Danio rerio: one gene and its partners. The protein of the gene in region 5 interacts with the protein of the main gene of each other region in a pairwise test. Links are inferred from orthologs where the notes say so. Each region holds a gene or a part of one and is shown on either strand. Other genes may lie near its edges.

Region 1 (2,645 bases), on a different chromosome or scaffold from region 5:
TAAACAACAAAACACATTTATGCTTAAACTCCTCCAGCTTAAGTTAATTTTCTGAGAACAGCGTGATAACCAGCCTGAAAAAATTCTACAGTCATTTATAGAAAACACTATGGTGTTTTTCAACCATACTATAGCAAAATAACATAATTTATTTGTTGCCAATTCTATAGTTAGCATGGTAATACAACAACTATATTAGTTAGGTTTTTTCAAGCTATCAATATTATATTACTATACAGATTTACTGCAGTAAAAAATAAGGTATGCTGCAGCATTTAATACAGTTTATCTGTAGCATTTATTAGAAAATGTTGTAAATACTATAATATCCACAGTATAAATGCACTTAATTGTAGTATAAACTGTAAATTAATATAGTGTATTTCATATAGGATATATCTTGCAATTATTTGCCAGATATTACATCCCTTGCTGAATTTCAGCAGGGTATTACTCCTTCTGGGATTAAATAAAATCTATCAACAGGACCTGTGAACTTTTGCTGCTCAATTTTCATTTATTGCTCAAACAGGACAGAAATATCACTTTTTTTACACACAAAAACCAACAGTAATAGTCCACATAATGTTATCTTCACTGTGATCAAATAATAATTGTTTCTCCCAAAGCTTGCCCAGCCAGAACACTTTACGGTGTTGCAAGTAAAATGATTCATCATCTCTTCTGAAACATTTATCTACTGCTGGTGTTAAATTGGGAATAATAGCGCTCGTCTGGAATGTTGGTGTACACATCCTGAAGATGTTTCTTCCTGTGAATGGAAACAGTGTTACACAATGATAAACAGAAATAACATTCACAAAACTAATTACAGTATTTTGGTAATTTTTAAAAATCTAGAAAAAAAAAAAAAAAAAATATATATATATATATATATATATATATATATATATATATATATATATATATATATATATATATATATTTGTATATTTATTTGTATATTTATTTGTATATATATATTTTTTTACTTAATATATATTAGTCAACCAAAATCAATTTAACCCACCGAGCATCATGGATATGAGCCAGCTGTGAGTTGGAATTGTCCATTGCTCTGCGCAGCTCCTTATTAATGCGTGCTTGTTGTCTTTCCAGCAGCAATGCAGCACGAGCTGAGCTCATGCGTTCCTGATGTTCCTGAAGATCCTTCTGTCGTTGTTCCATGTTGGCTCGCTGCACAGATTTATTCGACTTTTAACATTTAAATGTATCTGAATTACTGGAGTAAAAATGGATAATGGAGATAATGGAGTAAAAAAAAGTTTTGGAACAGCATAAAGTGTGATGTACTTTGTAATACACATGTGCAAAATAGTCATACTTCTTTAGTCAAAATATTTAAAAAAAAATGTGTAGATTACTTGTTAAGTTACAATATATTCAACTTAAGTGGTGGAGAGGTTTATTTTAGCTTTTACACAGCTAGTTAACCTAGTTTTCCCCTGAGTTGTGTTGTGGATAAAATATAGGATAAGTTTTAATTATACATCACAAATGGGTCCTACAGAGATGTATTTAACATAACATATATAAAAACACAGGCAGGAATTAATATCAACATCTGCATTAACAGGTTATTTTTCAGATCCTTTAATCTGCATCACTTTTAACTTCAGAAAAATGACTGAATCCCTCATGAAGAGCTGAGGGATATGACATAAACATGCTTTAAACATTTATACTCTGTGGTCAACATGTGTTTGTTGCCTCATTTCGACCATTTGCAAGGAGTTTCACAATATACACGTTAAACTAACAAATATACATTTAAACATATTTTACACCTCTTTGGGGAATAATTTAACATATTATAATTTGTATATTCCACTCCATGTGCTCCGTGGCCATGCATGAAGCTGCTTACTCTTCCCTAAATCCTATCCAGTTTTCAAAATAAGAGTCCCGTATACATAGGAAGGCCCAATACTAATTCTACGCCTTAGCCCTTATTCTATATTCTATATACAGTTGAAGTCAGAATTATTAGCCCTCCCCATTTTAATTTTTTTCTTTTTTTAAATATTTCCCAAATTATGTTTAACAGGGCAAAGAAAAATTCACAGTATGTCTGATAATATTTTTTTTTTCTTCTGGAGAAAGTCTTATATGTTTTATTTCGGCTAAAATACAAGCAGTTATTAATTTTTCAAACAGCATTTTAAGGACAAAATTATTAGCCATTTTAAGCTTAATTATTTTCAATAGTCAACAGAACAAACCATCGTTATACAATGACTTGCCTAATTACCCTAACCTGCCTAGTTAACCCAATTAACCTAGTTAAGCCTTTAAATGTCACTTTAAGTTGTATAAAAGTATCTTGAAAAATATCTAGTCAAATGTTATTTACTGTCATCATGGCAAGATAAAATAAATCAGTTATTAGAAATGAGTTATTAAAACTATTATTTTTTATAATGTGTTGAAAAAAATCTCTCCTTTAAACAGAAATTGGGAAAAAAAAATAAACAGGGGGGCTAATAATTATGACTTCAGCTGTATGTAGTTGGTGTATTCTTGGTTTCTAGTGTGGTCCTTTAAAATCTCCAGCTCTTCCCTTTAGCCCGACACCCTCAAACTAAGGAGAATTGGGAAACCCCTACCTCTACCCCTTCAATCCA
Region 2 (4,288 bases), on a different chromosome or scaffold from region 5:
TTCTATTCTGAATCATCCACCCTATGCCCTTGTCCATTTGAACACAAATACTCTGAATCATTTAAAAACATTAAAGGTTGTCTTGTTCACATTTTATATTAAAGTTATTCTTATTACAGTTCAGTTTATAAACTTCAAATTGACAACTGTGCTATCTCCATAGTGCACTCCCATAACATTTATGCCATTTTAAACGCAGCAGTGACTCGTGAAGAAAGCTACATTTACAATCAAAAACCTGTTTACACACTTCCAGCAACTGTTAAAACAAACATTTAAGGTAATGATTTTAACTTGTATAGAAAATTGATCTCTAATATACTGTAAAAATGCTATGGTCCACACATTTCTTTTACATGGCCCATCATAAATTGATTAAACTTAATTTTTTTTCATAAATTTAAGTGGGCTTAACTTAAAACAATTAAGTTGTCCTCAAGAACACAAGTTTCAGCTAATTATATATAAGTACTTTGAACAAGCCGCAAAAGTCTTTTTTTTTAGTGTATATGATATATGCAACATTTCTGCAGTGGTTTGAGTGTTTATAAAACTGTAATAGTAATTTATTTAAATACAAAAATATACTTTTGTAAAATGTAATTTCTGAAACATGTAACTTTATAAGCAACAGATAAATATAAATATATTTTTTACATCTTTGACCATATACATATATATATATATATATATATATATATATATATATATATTTCAGAATTAGATTGCATGTCATTATATAATGGGTTTATGTTTTATTTATAATAGCAGAGAGTATGATATGGAATATTGTCAATAATATTTGTAAAAGAAAGTAAATACTTGTGTCGTTGCGTTTCATTTAAGAAAGCAGAGATAAAGAAAAGCCGAGGCAAGCAAACTAAATGTTTATTACCAAAACTCATAATGGGTAAAAATATATATATATATCCTGTGTGTAACAATATTTTCTGTACCAAAACTAAAAGCATCTATTAATGTGAATTTCCTCTTAATAAATTGTTACTCCACCCCCTTTAGATGATCATTACAGACGTTTTATGTTTTAACTAACATGGTTCAAATAATTGATCTGAAAGAGAGAATAAACTGTCCAGGGGTCTCATTTATAAACATGGTATACACAAAATTGGGGGTGGAAACACGTGTACGCCACTTCTTATACAGGTTATTATGATCTATAAAAAACAAACTTGACGGGAGAATGTGCGCAGCTTTAAGTAAACACATTTCGCTTAAATATTGACTTAATTCAAGCACTTTAAATCATCATAAAAGCCATAATAATTAATAAATAAATAAAAATGTATTCTGGTGTACATTCACTTTTAGGAAAGTTTCTATGCAATGTTTTATAAATGAGACCTCAGGAACCTTAACTGAAACATACACAACTATTTAAACATTGTTTTTTGTTTCGGCAATGACGCATTAATTTGATCACAGTTAAGATTTTTACAGTGTTAGTGTATTTCTATTTGTAACAATACTCACAATAATACAGATTTTATGCATTTTTGATTGAATAAAAGTAGCATTAGTGCGTTTTTTAAAAATCCTACCCACCCCCCAAAACCTCTGAATGGTAGTGTAGATTTATCGTTATCCCTCATAAATGGAAAAACTGACTCACCTGTCTCTGACTGTAGGATTCCTTCAGCTTCTTTAAATGTGTCGTCATCTTCACTTTAAAGTGAATTTCACTGTTGTCCTGCGAAATGAAAGGAAATCATCAAATCTGTTCAGATCTTTTCATATATCTCATTATAAAAGAACAGCTGGATTGGTTTTAAACAGTAATGGGTTTAAATATGAAAACCTGCATTTCCTAGAAAACAAGTGCTTTTGCTCACCTGACCGATCACTTTGAGTTTAATGTACTCTCCATCCTTCTTCTCGCCTCCATCACTTGAGGGCTTGGTCTCCTATTAAAACAAAACAAGCATTCGATTACTGCATGTCATATTGTTTTTTTATCAGATTTAATGTAATGAATTAAAAAAATATCTTGGGACTGAATTCAATAAAATATTGACTGAAGATCGTATAAAATAAGGTAGATCCGATTTTAATAAATTATAATTATATATATATATATATATATATATATATATATATATATATATATATATATATATATATATTATATATAAAATAATATTGTGAGTGTTGTTATCATTTAAACACTAGGCTGTGTGTGTGTGTGTGTGTGCTTTGAATGTAAACACACAACCTAACGTTACTCTTCTATCGCGAGCTGTTAATACGAGCACAAACCGAACACAAACTAACGTGAACAAATAACGAATAATCCTAATGAACATATCAAAAAATCAACAATTAATAACTAATTCAAATGTTCAGCATGGTCTATCAGCTCAAGATATTATGAACTCTGCTTTCAGGGCCCAGAGCAGCTAACTAGCACACATGCTAATTGGACGATTTGAGGAAGAAATTCACATATTTTTGGCATTTGTGAACACAGTAAATTGGACTAATGTGTAAATTGCGAGAACCAGAAACTATGCACAGTTAAAAACACTCAAGCATTTTTATCAAAAATACTTTCCAAACCACAGTCAGCTAGACAGGCTAAAAGCTGGGCCCTCTTATTTTCATTTTCTATAAGTCCGTCTTTCTCGTCTGCTCTCATGAAAGTTCGATTCAGCATCACAGGTTTAGACTCACCGTGTCTGACATGATATTCCGCAATGTGCAGCCCTTCTGTAGATCAAGATTGTTTGATTTAAACGATACAGTGTTATGTACAGTAATGAGAGGTTTTGATAGTGCTACCAGCAGACCCACAACACAGCGCCGTTGACGTCATTGGAAAGGGGCTGGACTTTCTATGACACTGGGTCGATGACCCAACGAGCGTTGTTTTTCTCACCACGCTCTTTCTGATTGGCTCCAATCGCCATCTGCGATGTTGCTATTGGTAAAACATAGGGAGGCCCGTATTTTGCAAAAAAAAAAAAAAAAAAAACACATCAGTATTTTGGTCACGAAATATTAGAGTGCAAAAATAATGTGACAACTACACTACACCTCTGGAGGACGAAACCTGCAAAAGCAACAAATAAATAAATACGCAAATAAATAAATTAATTAACACATGTACAAATTCCTTCATAAATAAAACAGTAAATAAATACGCAAATAAATAAATAAATAAATGACTAAATATATACACAAGTTCCTACATAAATAAAATAATTAATAAATAACTACACGAATAAATGAATAAATACTCAAATCCCTGTGTAAATAAAACAATAAATAAATAAATACACAAAAAATAAATAAATACAAATTCTTGCATAAATAAAACAATAAATAAATAAATACACAAATAAATTAATAAATAAATAGACAAATTCCTGCATAAATAAAACAATAAATAAACATGCTAAATAAATAAACAAATGTACAAAATAAATACACAAATTAAAAAGATAAAAAATAAAAAGCAATGAATAAATAAAGTAAATAAATAAAGCAATAAATAAATAAAACAATAAATTAATATGCAAATAAAAAATCAATTAGTTAATAAATTCGCAAATTCCTGCATAAATAAAACAATAAATCGTTTATTTTATGTATTTATAACTTTTAATGCCATAGATTTTAAAAAAGACATTAAGACTAATTCAGTGGATCAAAGGTAATATAAAAAATCTGTATAATGTTACTGAACATTTTATTTCAAATACAGTTTCTTCTGAGAATTTTAGAAAGCTGAATGTATTGTGTATTTAACAGAAATATCAAGCAGAATTATTATTAATCATAGAGCACCAAGTAAAATTGACCATAACAAATTCTGAACTCTCATTGGAATATTAAACATATTTACATACAACAATACAGATATTTAAAATTGAAATAATATTTCATATTATAATTGTTTATTCATCTTTTTGTCTAAAACATTTAAATATCTTTTTTTTTTACAAAACTTTTGTTTAGTATATTATTATTATCATCATCATCATCATCATCATCATCATCATCATCATCATCATCATCATCATCATCATCCTCATTATTTGGAATATGACATTATCCAAAATATTGTCTCTACACACTTTGAATATAAAACTCGAAAACTGAAAATCAACACGAGGTGATGGTGCATGAAAATGAGGCTGAGACTACTGCACATGCGCACATTTCACTGGCAGTATTGCGCATGCTCGTCCTGTCCCATGTGCGCCTCGTGGAGAGAGCGACTTCTTGTAGCGGAAGGCTCTCGGTCTCGGGAGCTCGACCTTAAACT
Region 3 (3,977 bases), on a different chromosome or scaffold from region 5:
CAGATAGTGTCTGTTTCTAAAAACTTCAGAGCGGCAGAGATCATCTGTTCTTTTGTCCTTTGTGTTGGATTATCAAGAGCAGTGTTACAAAGGGTGGTCTGTAGGGACAGAAATCAGTCTATTAGATTCTGCTATTCATTTAACATTATGAATGTTGGGAATACTGGGAATGAATGTACTATCAGAATATACACACACTGATTTTATATGTACTTGTGACAATGTTTTAGATACATTATCCATTAGTATTTAATAATAAATATCTTTATTTAACCAGGTAAATCAATTAAGAGAACCAATTCTCATCTAAAATGACAACCAGGTGAAGAAAAAAGACACATGCAAATAATAACATATAAAAAATAGATAAATAAATAAAAAAAACTAGGAGCAAATGCAAATATCTTTAACTACATAAAAGGTCAGTTCACCCCAAAATGAAAATTATGTTATTAATAGGGTGGAACCGATTTGGAATTTTTGACCGACAACAATAACCGATAACTATTTAGAATGGGGTATATGCACACAATCTTTTAATTTCAGCCTAACAGGGCCTCCGTCTTTCCATTATAAAGTTGCCATGTTTGAGGTCAGTTTTTTTGTTTGTTTTTTAATCAGTGACCTTCACTGCCTGATAGATATAGATATATGAGTCTCAGACAAAAAGCACTGCGTTAAATTCTATTCCCCCGTCATATCTTTAAAATATAACAATTAATTTCACCCCAGTATAGGAGTTTCTGCGCTCGCCTGCTGATCCTGATGGCGCTAGCGGTTACACAATCTTTCATCTTGTTTTATGGTTGAACAACTAAATGAATGCTTGTATCTATTTAACTGAATGTTTTGTCATCAATGCATCGATAGTGTAAAACATCGATGCTGTAAAAGGAACCTTATGAAAATGAAAAGTCACATTAAGCTTTTTCAAAATGAAATGTGCATCTTGGCGTTTTCATCAACCGGTTTTCTATGCGCATATTGCAAAATTACCATAAAAATAGGTGGATGGAAACATAGATGAATGAATAGGAAAAGACACAATATGCAGACATTTTTTGCAATTTCTGCAGAGATTGATTTTAGGAGTATCATAACTACAGCATTAATATATTAAATAAAAAACAACACATTTTTTAATTTTATTTAATGTTTACAGTGCAAATCCAATTGCATCCACCTATTTGGTAAAGAAAGCAATACATCATATACCTACAAAAAGACAGAAAATATTACATTACTAACTGTATTGTTAATAAATCATATGAACATTTTAATAGTACTATTATTATAACACAATAATATTAGTGAAATTAATAAAAAAAAAAAAACTAAATAAATATAAATTCACACACAATTAAACAAGTGAATACAGTAAATACACCGAATGATGGGCTAAAGATCTGCGGAAATCTGCAGATTTCTGTACACGCATATTCCGTGTGGGCCTACTAATGAGGTGATAAACCGCTGAATGAAGTAAGTATTTTTTCTTTAAGTGTGCACAAAAGTACATTGCTGTCTATATGAAGGGTGAGTGAGCTCTCAGATTCCATCTAAAATATCTTAATCTGTGTTCCAAAGATGAAAGAAAGTCCCAGAGTATTGTTGTTGACCAAATTATAATTTTTGGCTGAACTACCCCTTTAACTGAATAGAATTTTTAAATGATTAAAATAGAATTTAAAAAAAAACTAAGCTTTCAGTTTTATTTATACCTAAAATCTGTACTTTTTAGGGGGTTCTTGAATGGAATCGTCTGCAGCAGAAAATTAAAAAGAAAAAACACCAAAAAAGTACAGATTTTGGGTATAAATAAAGGTACTAGTCTTGTAGACTTGTAATACTGTAAGTTTCAGTTCTGAAGAGTGTATAAAAATATGTGTTCCATGCTACTATGTATGTATTATAGATACATTTGAATGTACTCTGTAGACAGTTGTAGAATAAAACTTTCAAATATACTAGTAGTACTTGGGAAACCAAAATATAGTATAATAATAATAATATAATATAAATTAAAAATAATATCCTACCAAGTGCATAGTGTAAAACTTCAATGTGTCCTTTTGAACGTCCCACTCATTTGCAACAGCAATGGCAAGAGCTTCATTGGGAACTGTGAATAGTTTTCCACTTGGGGTCTTCAGCTTTCTCTTATCAAGGTTTATTTCAAACAAGCCACCTATAAACAAGAAAATCTGTGTTTTCATATGAGCAAACCCTCGATCTTCATCATTGAAAACATGTTTCTTTTAAGGTGCTGTTATGGCCATCAGTACTGAATGATGCTCACCTTCACCTTGAGTTATAGATACAGTCTCGTAGAACTTTTTCCTCTCTGCAAAACACAATGCAAGTACAAAGATATTAATATATTTGTTTATCATTTTAAGTTATTTTTTTCTTTTTATATCTTACCTGCTGTAGCACTGCTATATTTTGCCTTTTGTAGCTGTGTTGATAAACTGGGAACATGCTTCACGTAAGAAAATGAAAACGGCCAAATAATTGCCTGGCCAAACTTTGTGTGATACCGACATATATTTCGTAGCATATTTTAAACGTTATGTGTGTAAATTTGTATTTGTATTGATGCCACAGTTTAGGCGTGATAAGCCATTCAGTCAAGGTTAAAAAGCCGGATATGGTGTTATATTAAATTTGACAATGCATTTTTCATGTTTTAATCGTATAAATTACAAGAAATGAGTATATCTGAGATAAACTCAATTATTCAAGCAAATACACTAGAAGGTATTTAAAGGCATGCAGCAAAGTGAAAACAGCGTGCCGTAAAGTGGACTGACGATGACCTAAACAGGAAAAAGCATAGAGGATAATTCATAATAAAAGTCCATAGCTATATAAATATCTATGAGAAAAGTCCAACATTTCGAACATTCATTTAGCGCCAAACTTTCAGAATGGGTTACCAGGGACAAAAGAGAGTGATATACCTATTAAAATATTTTGATTTTAATAATTAAAAATAGCAATTGAATAATTAAAAAGATTAAAATAATTCTATATAGTTTTTAAATAATAAGCACACATTATAATACAAAATAAAAGAGAAACAGAAACAAATTGATAAAACAGCATAATAATTAAACGATTATTAAATATTTAATAGCATACAATACATTATTATATTTTATTTAAATAAAATAAAACAATAAATTATATATCAAAATAAAATAAAACAAATAAGAATATAATAATAAAAAATTTCAGTTTTCAAAACATTAACTTCAGGTAACTTCCTTAATTTTTTTTAACAAAAATGTTTATGTTTTAATGTGGGGGCAATGATATTAAAATGTTTGTGGCATCTAAAAGTTGGGCGGGAAAGTCCTGCTCTAAATATTAAAAATTAACATAGCTTTAAATAACTTAAAATATTTGTTAAAAATGTTATTCTTAAATACATTTTTTGGAATATTTAAATGAATATATTAGTGAATATTTATATGTTGCTACTATAAACTGGTTTATTCACCTTTCTTTTGCTTCAGTTTTATTATCTCTATCTTATATGTTTTTTTCTTTCTTTCTTTCATTAATTTGTTGGTTTGTTAAAACATGGAAAAAATTACACAATTTATAGAGCAGACATTTACATTACACTTAGTTATTACCTAATTATTTATCTACTATGTACAAGACAAATGCAAAAAGAATTAAATAATATCTTGTTTTAAAATCTTCATGTTTATTATCAGTTTGTTCTGCTTATTTAATTTATTTTATATATTCTAGAGAAAGAGAGAGAAATAAATAAATCAAATAAAAAGAAAAATAATACATAAAATAAAAATCATTAATTTCAAGTATACAAAAACCCTCCAGGGACACACATGAGTTGATGGGGCAGCAGTAGGGTAATGCACCAGAACTGATCTAAGGAACAGCATAGCGCCCTCTTTTGGTTGTGTTTCTGATTTGTTTGATTGTCCTCTGTTCTTCAGCAT
Region 4 (3,425 bases), on a different chromosome or scaffold from region 5:
TCGAATTCGATACTAATTAAGAATTTACCTCTTTTTTACAATTGTTTTTACAATTGTGGAAATAACAGCATAATCGAATTTCATTTAAAATTTAATTCACAAACCTTAAGGACCTGTTTGTTTTTAAGTACCTTCTAAAAGTGTGGGAAGCTTGTTTTAGTAAAAAAAAAAAAAAAAAAAACTGCAACAAATAGATGACGTGTAATGTACAAAACAATTTGATGTGAGAAGAGTTTAAGAAAAAAAGTTTAAAAACCAGTAAATACGTATTATAATAATAAATTATAAATGTATGTTTACAGCAGTTCAATAGTTATTCGTTTCCATATTTACAGACTTAACAGTGACTTATGGAAAATAATCTAAATATATACTTTACATAAGTTTTTGGAGGACAAATAAAACATCTAAAGTCAACATAAAAAAGTGTGTCTAGCCATACTGATACTTAGATTAAAACAGACATTAATTACCTTTTTAATGGTTACATGCATCTAAAACCAGTTTTTAGAGATTATATTTATTATTCTTGGTGTATTCATCTCTTCCAAAACAGACATGAATGCGCATTATACGGTTCACTGCACCAAATTGAAGACTACATAATTGACAATCTTAACATCATTGTGAACAAAAACTTCAATAGTACAGATCAAATAATACAGAACAATGTTGCTATCTTTACGCACTTGCTCAAAGGCAAACCCAATTACTGTGGTACCACTGTTCTCCACAATTAGCACAGGTCATAAAAGTCATAGAATCATTATCTGCACTGCCACTCTGCACCCAGGATGGCAAGAAAAGAGTCCCTCGTGAGATTTGAGTCACCCTGCAATCCATACTGTCACATTGCCTGCAGCGAACTTTATTGGTAGGGGTGCCTTCAACTGTTTCTGGCAACTGATGCTCACTGATGGCCAAATTAGTGTAAGTTTCTCTGAGCTGTCGAAGTTTCTCACCTGCCATTTCCTCTACAGACATCTGGGCAAATGCATCTGGAGTCAGTTGTCCTGAAATAAGGCCTTGGCGTAGGTGGGGGTTGTTTGGGTTCTTTAGGTTGGCAACCTTGCTCCTAATATGAAACTTGAACTTATGCTGGTTTCGTCCATGAAGAGCATGAACATGCAACTCAATGTTCTCAGCAAGGGCTTTGAGCTTGTTCATATGACCTGGGTCTGTTTGTTGGTTTGTGCCAAGAGCCTGAAGAATCAGATGGACACATTTGGATCTCAGTGCTGTAGAGTCACAGTTAGTTGTGTGCTGATTTGTGTTTTGAGGAACTGAGGTTTGAGCACCTTCCTCTGCATCAGATCTATTTGATTCCACGGCTGGAGTGAGGCTCTCTTGCTCAAGCTGTGGCTGGAGAGATTCTGCAGATTCAGTTGCTATACAAAGTTTTTTAGAAGATGCATTAAAGCATACATTATTACATTTTCCCTGGTTTGCATCCTTTGTTATATCAAGCTGCTTTGTGTTACATGCTTGACTCTCGTTCACTTTTTCATGTAAGGGCTGAAATCCATTGGTTAAAAATGGAAATCCCAATGGTAACTCAACATTAGACATGTTATGCGTCTCTGACTCTCTGTTTGGCGTCTCTAATTCCTTGTCCTCCCGTGTGTTTTTGTCATTATTTTTGAGTAATATTGCATGTGACAAATTGTACAACTTCTTCCATTTTGTCAGCAAGCTTTTTGCTTTTGTTTTAGCACTCAAAACAGGACAGGACTTAAGCAGTCTGTAAAGAACTTTTACAATATCTGTTGTCTGAATCTGCTCTAACGTGACAGAAGTGATGTCGAGTTCAGTCAGTAATGATATAACATCTTCATAACTGCCGTCCTCGTGCAACCTTTCGATTTGTGTAGCATAATATATGATCTCTCTAGTATGCATGACGTCTTCGAAATTAAGGAAAATTAAGGAGTAGCGTTACACCTGGAAAATACTGTTCTTGAAGAATCCGAAGCGTTAGCTTAGTTTTCAAGCGTAATAAAAATATGTCCGCTAACGTTATCTGAATTGCAGACAAACACGTATCTTCTTTATTAACTAAGCAGTAAAACATTTTTTACAAAGTCGCTACTTCTACAGCCATGTATTTCATCAACGCAATGCAGTTGTTGTTGTTGTTCTTCTTCTTCTTCTTGCAAACTTTGGCAGCTTTACTGAATTTCCGCCACCTAGTGGGGAGGAGGGTGAGGGGTTGATATAGAAAGGAATACAGAAATAGACCAAAGCAAAGAAATGGGGGGAAAAGAAAATGGTAAGCTATTTAATCAAATACATAAATTAAACTTGTCTAAGTAACAATGTCTTTTAAGATACTTTAGGTATACTTTAGTTTTTATTAAATTAACATCTTTAGTTATTAAATTTATTAATTCATTCACTAATTTTCCTTCAGCTTAGTCCTATTATTCATCTGGGCTTGACACAGCAGAATGAACTGCCAACTTATCCAATATATGTTTTACACAGCTAATACAGCACCTATACACCTCATAGCTTATACACCAAGTGCATGTCTTTTTCTGTGGGACAAAACTGAAGCACTCGGAGGAAACCCACGCCAACACAGGAAATACATGAAAACTCCACACAGAAATGCCAACGGACTCGAACTGGGACTCAAACCAGTGACCTTCTTGCAAGGAGGCGACTGTGCTACCCGCTGCGCCACCGAGTTGCCCGTTTATTTATTTAGTTATTCAATTTATTACTTCTTTAGTGTTAGATTTAAACTTCCTGCATTCTTCATTTCCTCCATAAGCTGAGATCTTTCCTCATTATAACTATGACAATTAAAATAACACGCTCAACTAATTTTGGATTTCCACATATACTCCACATACCTGTATCGTGTTTGCCAATTTCAAACAGTGATTGGTTTAATGCAGTGAGCCCAATTCGGAGGCATGAGATTGTCATCCCTTCTTTTGTCACAAACCTGTCATACCCAACTTACCTCATTATTTGATACAATTGTCTTCCCCTTTCTTCCTGAGTCCATGTCTGTCGCCATCTTTTTTTTACTGACTTTAATTAAACCCTACATTTCAGATTTGCCCAATGGGACATTAACATTTTAGAGAGTATACTTTAGTGCTTTCTTTGCCAACTCGCACACTATTTCATACTTTATACTTTAACTCCCAAGTGATATATTCTGTACAGAGTCTGGAATATTTCAATAAGAATGTCCTGTCTTGCTAGATACTTTTTTCTTTTTCTTTTTAATTAACAATGCTTAAACAATAACAGAAAAGCTTTAATACTTTTTTTTTTTTTAATTTACACAAAAAGACTGAGATGACAATCAATTTGCATTCACAATCTTTTCATTCACAATCTTTTCATTCACATTAATAATAACAATACACCATAAATAAATAAATAAATGAATGAATGAATAAATAAAT
Region 5 (3,521 bases):
GATTGGCTGGGTCATTCAACCAGCTTTATTTTGTTTTTCTGAAAGCATTTGAGAGTTTCCTTGGCTGTGCTTTGGATCATTGATTTGCTGAAATGTTTATCCTGGTTTAATCTTCATTGTCCTAATATAGTTGTTAGACTGAAGCAGCTAATATTCATTTACAATGATGAAGGGCAGAAAATTGCTGAAAAATACTGAGTTATTTCAGCTGCTGGCTGGACTTTCACTGCATTTCTACAGCTCCCTTTATTCATGTGTTCAGTACTTTTTCCCTGCGTCATTTTATTTTGTTTTGCATAACTTAATTTGTAAACTAGATTTGTTTTTTGATTTGTAATTTGAAAAGTAGATTTGTTTTATTTGCATATATGGATTTCTTTGGTCGCTACCAACATCACAATTTAATTCAAGTCAACCCTATGTTTAGAAATATTTTTTTGGGTAAAAATTATGATCAATTCTTTTGTAAAATTGTGTTCAATGCTTATTTTCCCAGCTAAAGTCTTTTGAATCGGTATGCATGGCTACTAGATGAAAACACTACTGTTATAACCACTCCGAAACTAAATATGAAACCACGATTTTTATAATTCTTGATCAACCTATTAGCCTATGCGGTTTCTTTTGATGCGTAAATAAAACCTATAATGGCATATAGTATTACTTTTAACACAGACAAGTCGTTCTATGTCAGCAGCTGGTTTGTTAGAAAAATCAACTGTAAAGAAGATCATTTCCGTAAATGTATGCACTGAATTAGCCTACATATTACTTTTGTTTTAAAAGAACTTTAATGATTAAATAAAACTGTCATGATTTTAAAAAGCACTGAATGCTATATTTCATCAACTAATTTAAAATAGATTAATATGTTGATGCACAATACGCACAATATATGTTTGCATTCACTGTTTTATTTGCATGTTGATTATGACATATTAAATTTAAACTGCAATAGTTTTGGATTTTGTTTATTGTAGTCTTGTAGAGACTACAATGACCTATAAATAATAAATTAAACAATAAAAAAATAACAAAATTAGCTGATAAAAAAATTATTACAGTTTAGTTAATTAAAATACAGAGCCAAGTAAATCACTGTTAAATAAAAAAGCTATTTTGTTTTTTTTTCCCCTGCTGTATCCATATATTACTAAAGTACGTGCTAAACAGTCATGTTTGTGCCCTGTTGCACCCTAAACAGACTGATGAATATTGTCTCAAATGTAAGGTTAAAGTATAACAACTCAAAATGTAATTCACAAACAATAAAATGACAGCAGATAAAAATGGAATTGAAACTTTTTATGAATTCTTTGCACTTTAGCTATCAAAACATTGTTCAGTGAGAAAAACTAATATTCAGGGATTTGCCAATATTTACATTAAACAGTTCTGTTTCTTTTTTAATGATCCACTAAAATTATTAGATGAAAGAAACAGGGAAATTTGCATCCCACACACTAGTATACAATGTCAACTCATTTAATCCTTAAATACGTGTTTATGTACAAATCTGAATGTGCTGCTCGAATGTGCTTTGATTATCTAACCTCGTCCAATGTCCCGGCCCTCCATGTCTTTAAGGACAACCGTTCGCCCTCTGGCAACAAGCACAGCATCACCTTCCCAGCGCTTATGCTTCCTTGAAGAGGCCTTGCACCATATAACACTATAGTAGTGAGCTTTAAAATAAACAGATAATGAATCAGCAGCGATAACACAACATAATAATAGCCTAAATCAAACATAATGCTTAGTTACTGTGCAGTTATTATATTCATAAACTAGAAATGTGCCTATATACTGTATAAACTGATCAGGCATGTTTAAATGAGATCAAAACTGTTACATAGGTCACAACTTAATCATATATACAATTTTTAAATTAATGTGCCCTCAAAATTATTAATTAAACAAATCCAACAGTAATCAAATCCAATTCCTAATGGACTAATTTAGTCTTGCCCGACAGTTGGTCTCAGCTTAGAAGCTATTTACTGTAAGTCTGACAAACCTAATAACAAAAGAGGAAAATACAGTAGTAATATTACCTATTATGCTGTGAATAAGCATTCAAATGAAGCTAACACAAACTGTTTGATTTAGAAGACTCTCATTCATTGCTGTTGCTACGTAACAACCAAAGAATAAAAGCCCATCTCAAACCACAGAGATTAAAGCATTTATGAATTTATTATCAAACACATACAAAATCCAATTGAATTCTCTCATCCACACATTAAAAACATACAATTCTGCTACAAATATCACAAACAATCCTCATACTGAATAAAAAAAAACTGTACAAACAAGAAACAACTGTACAAACAGCATTTTAAATTAACATTTTATGGCTCCCTTTTTGACGTACTTTCAAAAGTGAGACAGTGTACAAAATCACATCAATGGCAATCCTTGCCGCAGCCTGGCAGCTCTCAGTTTCTCCACTTTAACTCTTGACCGGAGTAGCTCCTCCTCCAGCTGCTGCTTTCTCTTAAGCCCCTCCCTCTTCTCCTCTATATATAAACCAAGCTTCCTATGATTGGCCAGAAGCAACTCGTGCTCCTCTCGCATCATCTGCAAAGCCTCTGCCTCAAACGCAGGATCCTTGAATGCTGTCCTCGCCGTGTGATAGGCGCTCCTTCTGGGCCCGTGTGCCAGCGGCGACGGTGGCAGGTGTACAGAGGATGGGCATGGAGAAAGAGAGGCAGCATAAACATGGGAGGCCAATTCCTCTTCCTCCTCGTCTACCTCGTCTTCCACTACTTCACTGTCCCTTTCATTTTGGCCATGGTGGGCTTGGCTGCTCGGGGTGGCGATGGTGATGGGTGACCCGTGGGATGTAATCAGGTGGATATCCGGAGGCGGTTTCACATCCTCAGTCTCCACTCGAACAGCTGTGACTGGAGGATAGTCGGACAGCGCTGGGATGGACAGACTGCTGCCCGGCTGTTCTACAGGAGAGTTTCTTTTGAACTGAAGCCTAAAACAGACACATACACATGCTTCATTAATAATAGACATAAATATGGTAAATTTGAACAGTTCTTTAAAATTGTGATTGAAAGCTCAATTGTTAATCTAAGGCAGTGGTTCCCAAAGTTGGGGTTGGGACAAAGAGGAGGGGTCACTTGGCGATTTCCAAAAATCTAATTCATTTTATTAAACTATTAGAAGTACCATACTTCATCTATAAGCTACAAAAGAACAAAATTAATAGTAACACTGTTAACATGTTAAGAATATACATTAAAAACAACTTGCAGATAAATAGTCATCAGTCTTTCACATTTTTTTTTGTGCCCTCTGGGGTGATTACATTATATAATATGTATATTGAAACCTCTACAGCACTCACATCGATTAAAAATAAAAACAGGCCACAACTGAACATGGAGGATGGCCTCCGAGTGGCCTTCTCCAAAATTAAACAATGAATAGACTTGGGCCGATAGACCATTTTGAGGGATGTAAACAATAACAATGGTCCCAACGGATTTCCTGTTTTACATGCATAA

The links.
Region 1: the proteins of rad54b (region 5) and ribc2 interact in a two-hybrid assay, tested with the Homo sapiens proteins (2 studies listed by BioGRID and IntAct). The two-hybrid records come from large-scale screens. The link is inferred for Danio rerio from reciprocal best matches to the Homo sapiens genes RAD54B and RIBC2.
Region 2: the proteins of rad54b (region 5) and sumo1 interact in a two-hybrid assay, tested with the Homo sapiens proteins (2 studies listed by BioGRID and IntAct). The two-hybrid records come from large-scale screens. The link is inferred for Danio rerio from reciprocal best matches to the Homo sapiens genes RAD54B and SUMO1.
Region 3: the proteins of rad54b (region 5) and atpaf2 interact in a two-hybrid assay, tested with the Homo sapiens proteins (2 studies listed by BioGRID). The two-hybrid records come from large-scale screens. The link is inferred for Danio rerio from reciprocal best matches to the Homo sapiens genes RAD54B and ATPAF2.
Region 4: the proteins of rad54b (region 5) and tceanc interact in a two-hybrid assay, tested with the Homo sapiens proteins (2 studies listed by BioGRID). The two-hybrid records come from large-scale screens. The link is inferred for Danio rerio from reciprocal best matches to the Homo sapiens genes RAD54B and TCEANC.

The regions. Positions count from the first base shown.
Region 1 is NC_133200.1:17,680,253-17,682,897, forward strand, and holds the end of ribc2 (RIB43A-like with coiled-coils protein 2), read right to left. Parts: intron 1,198-2,645; coding exon 1,031-1,197; intron 773-1,030; coding exon 694-772; 3' UTR 502-693; downstream 1-501. UniProt on the Homo sapiens protein: Microtubule inner protein (MIP) part of the dynein-decorated doublet microtubules (DMTs) in cilia axoneme, which is required for motile cilia beating.
Region 2 is NC_133181.1:10,603,132-10,607,419, reverse strand, and holds the start of sumo1 (small ubiquitin-related modifier 1), read right to left. Parts: upstream 2,806-4,288; 5' UTR 2,704-2,805; coding exon 2,692-2,703; intron 1,926-2,691; coding exon 1,854-1,925; intron 1,712-1,853; coding exon 1,634-1,711; intron 1-1,633. UniProt on the Homo sapiens protein: Ubiquitin-like protein that can be covalently attached to proteins as a monomer or a lysine-linked polymer.
Region 3 is NC_133187.1:20,034,784-20,038,760, forward strand, and holds the start of atpaf2 (ATP synthase mitochondrial F1 complex assembly factor 2), read right to left. Parts: upstream 2,805-3,977; 5' UTR 2,561-2,804; coding exon 2,425-2,560; intron 2,345-2,424; coding exon 2,300-2,344; intron 2,189-2,299; coding exon 2,040-2,188; intron 99-2,039; coding exon 1-98. UniProt on the Homo sapiens protein: Plays a role in the assembly of the F1 component of the mitochondrial ATP synthase (ATPase).
Region 4 is NC_133176.1:39,100,122-39,103,546, reverse strand, and holds tceanc (transcription elongation factor A N-terminal and central domain-containing protein), read right to left. Parts: upstream 2,145-3,425; 5' UTR 1,900-2,144; coding exon 694-1,899; 3' UTR 520-693; downstream 1-519.
Region 5 is NC_133191.1:29,865,136-29,868,656, reverse strand, and holds part of rad54b (DNA repair and recombination protein RAD54B), read right to left. Parts: intron 1,686-3,521; coding exon 1,554-1,685; intron 1-1,553. UniProt on the Homo sapiens protein: Involved in DNA repair and mitotic recombination. May play an active role in recombination processes in concert with other members of the RAD52 epistasis group.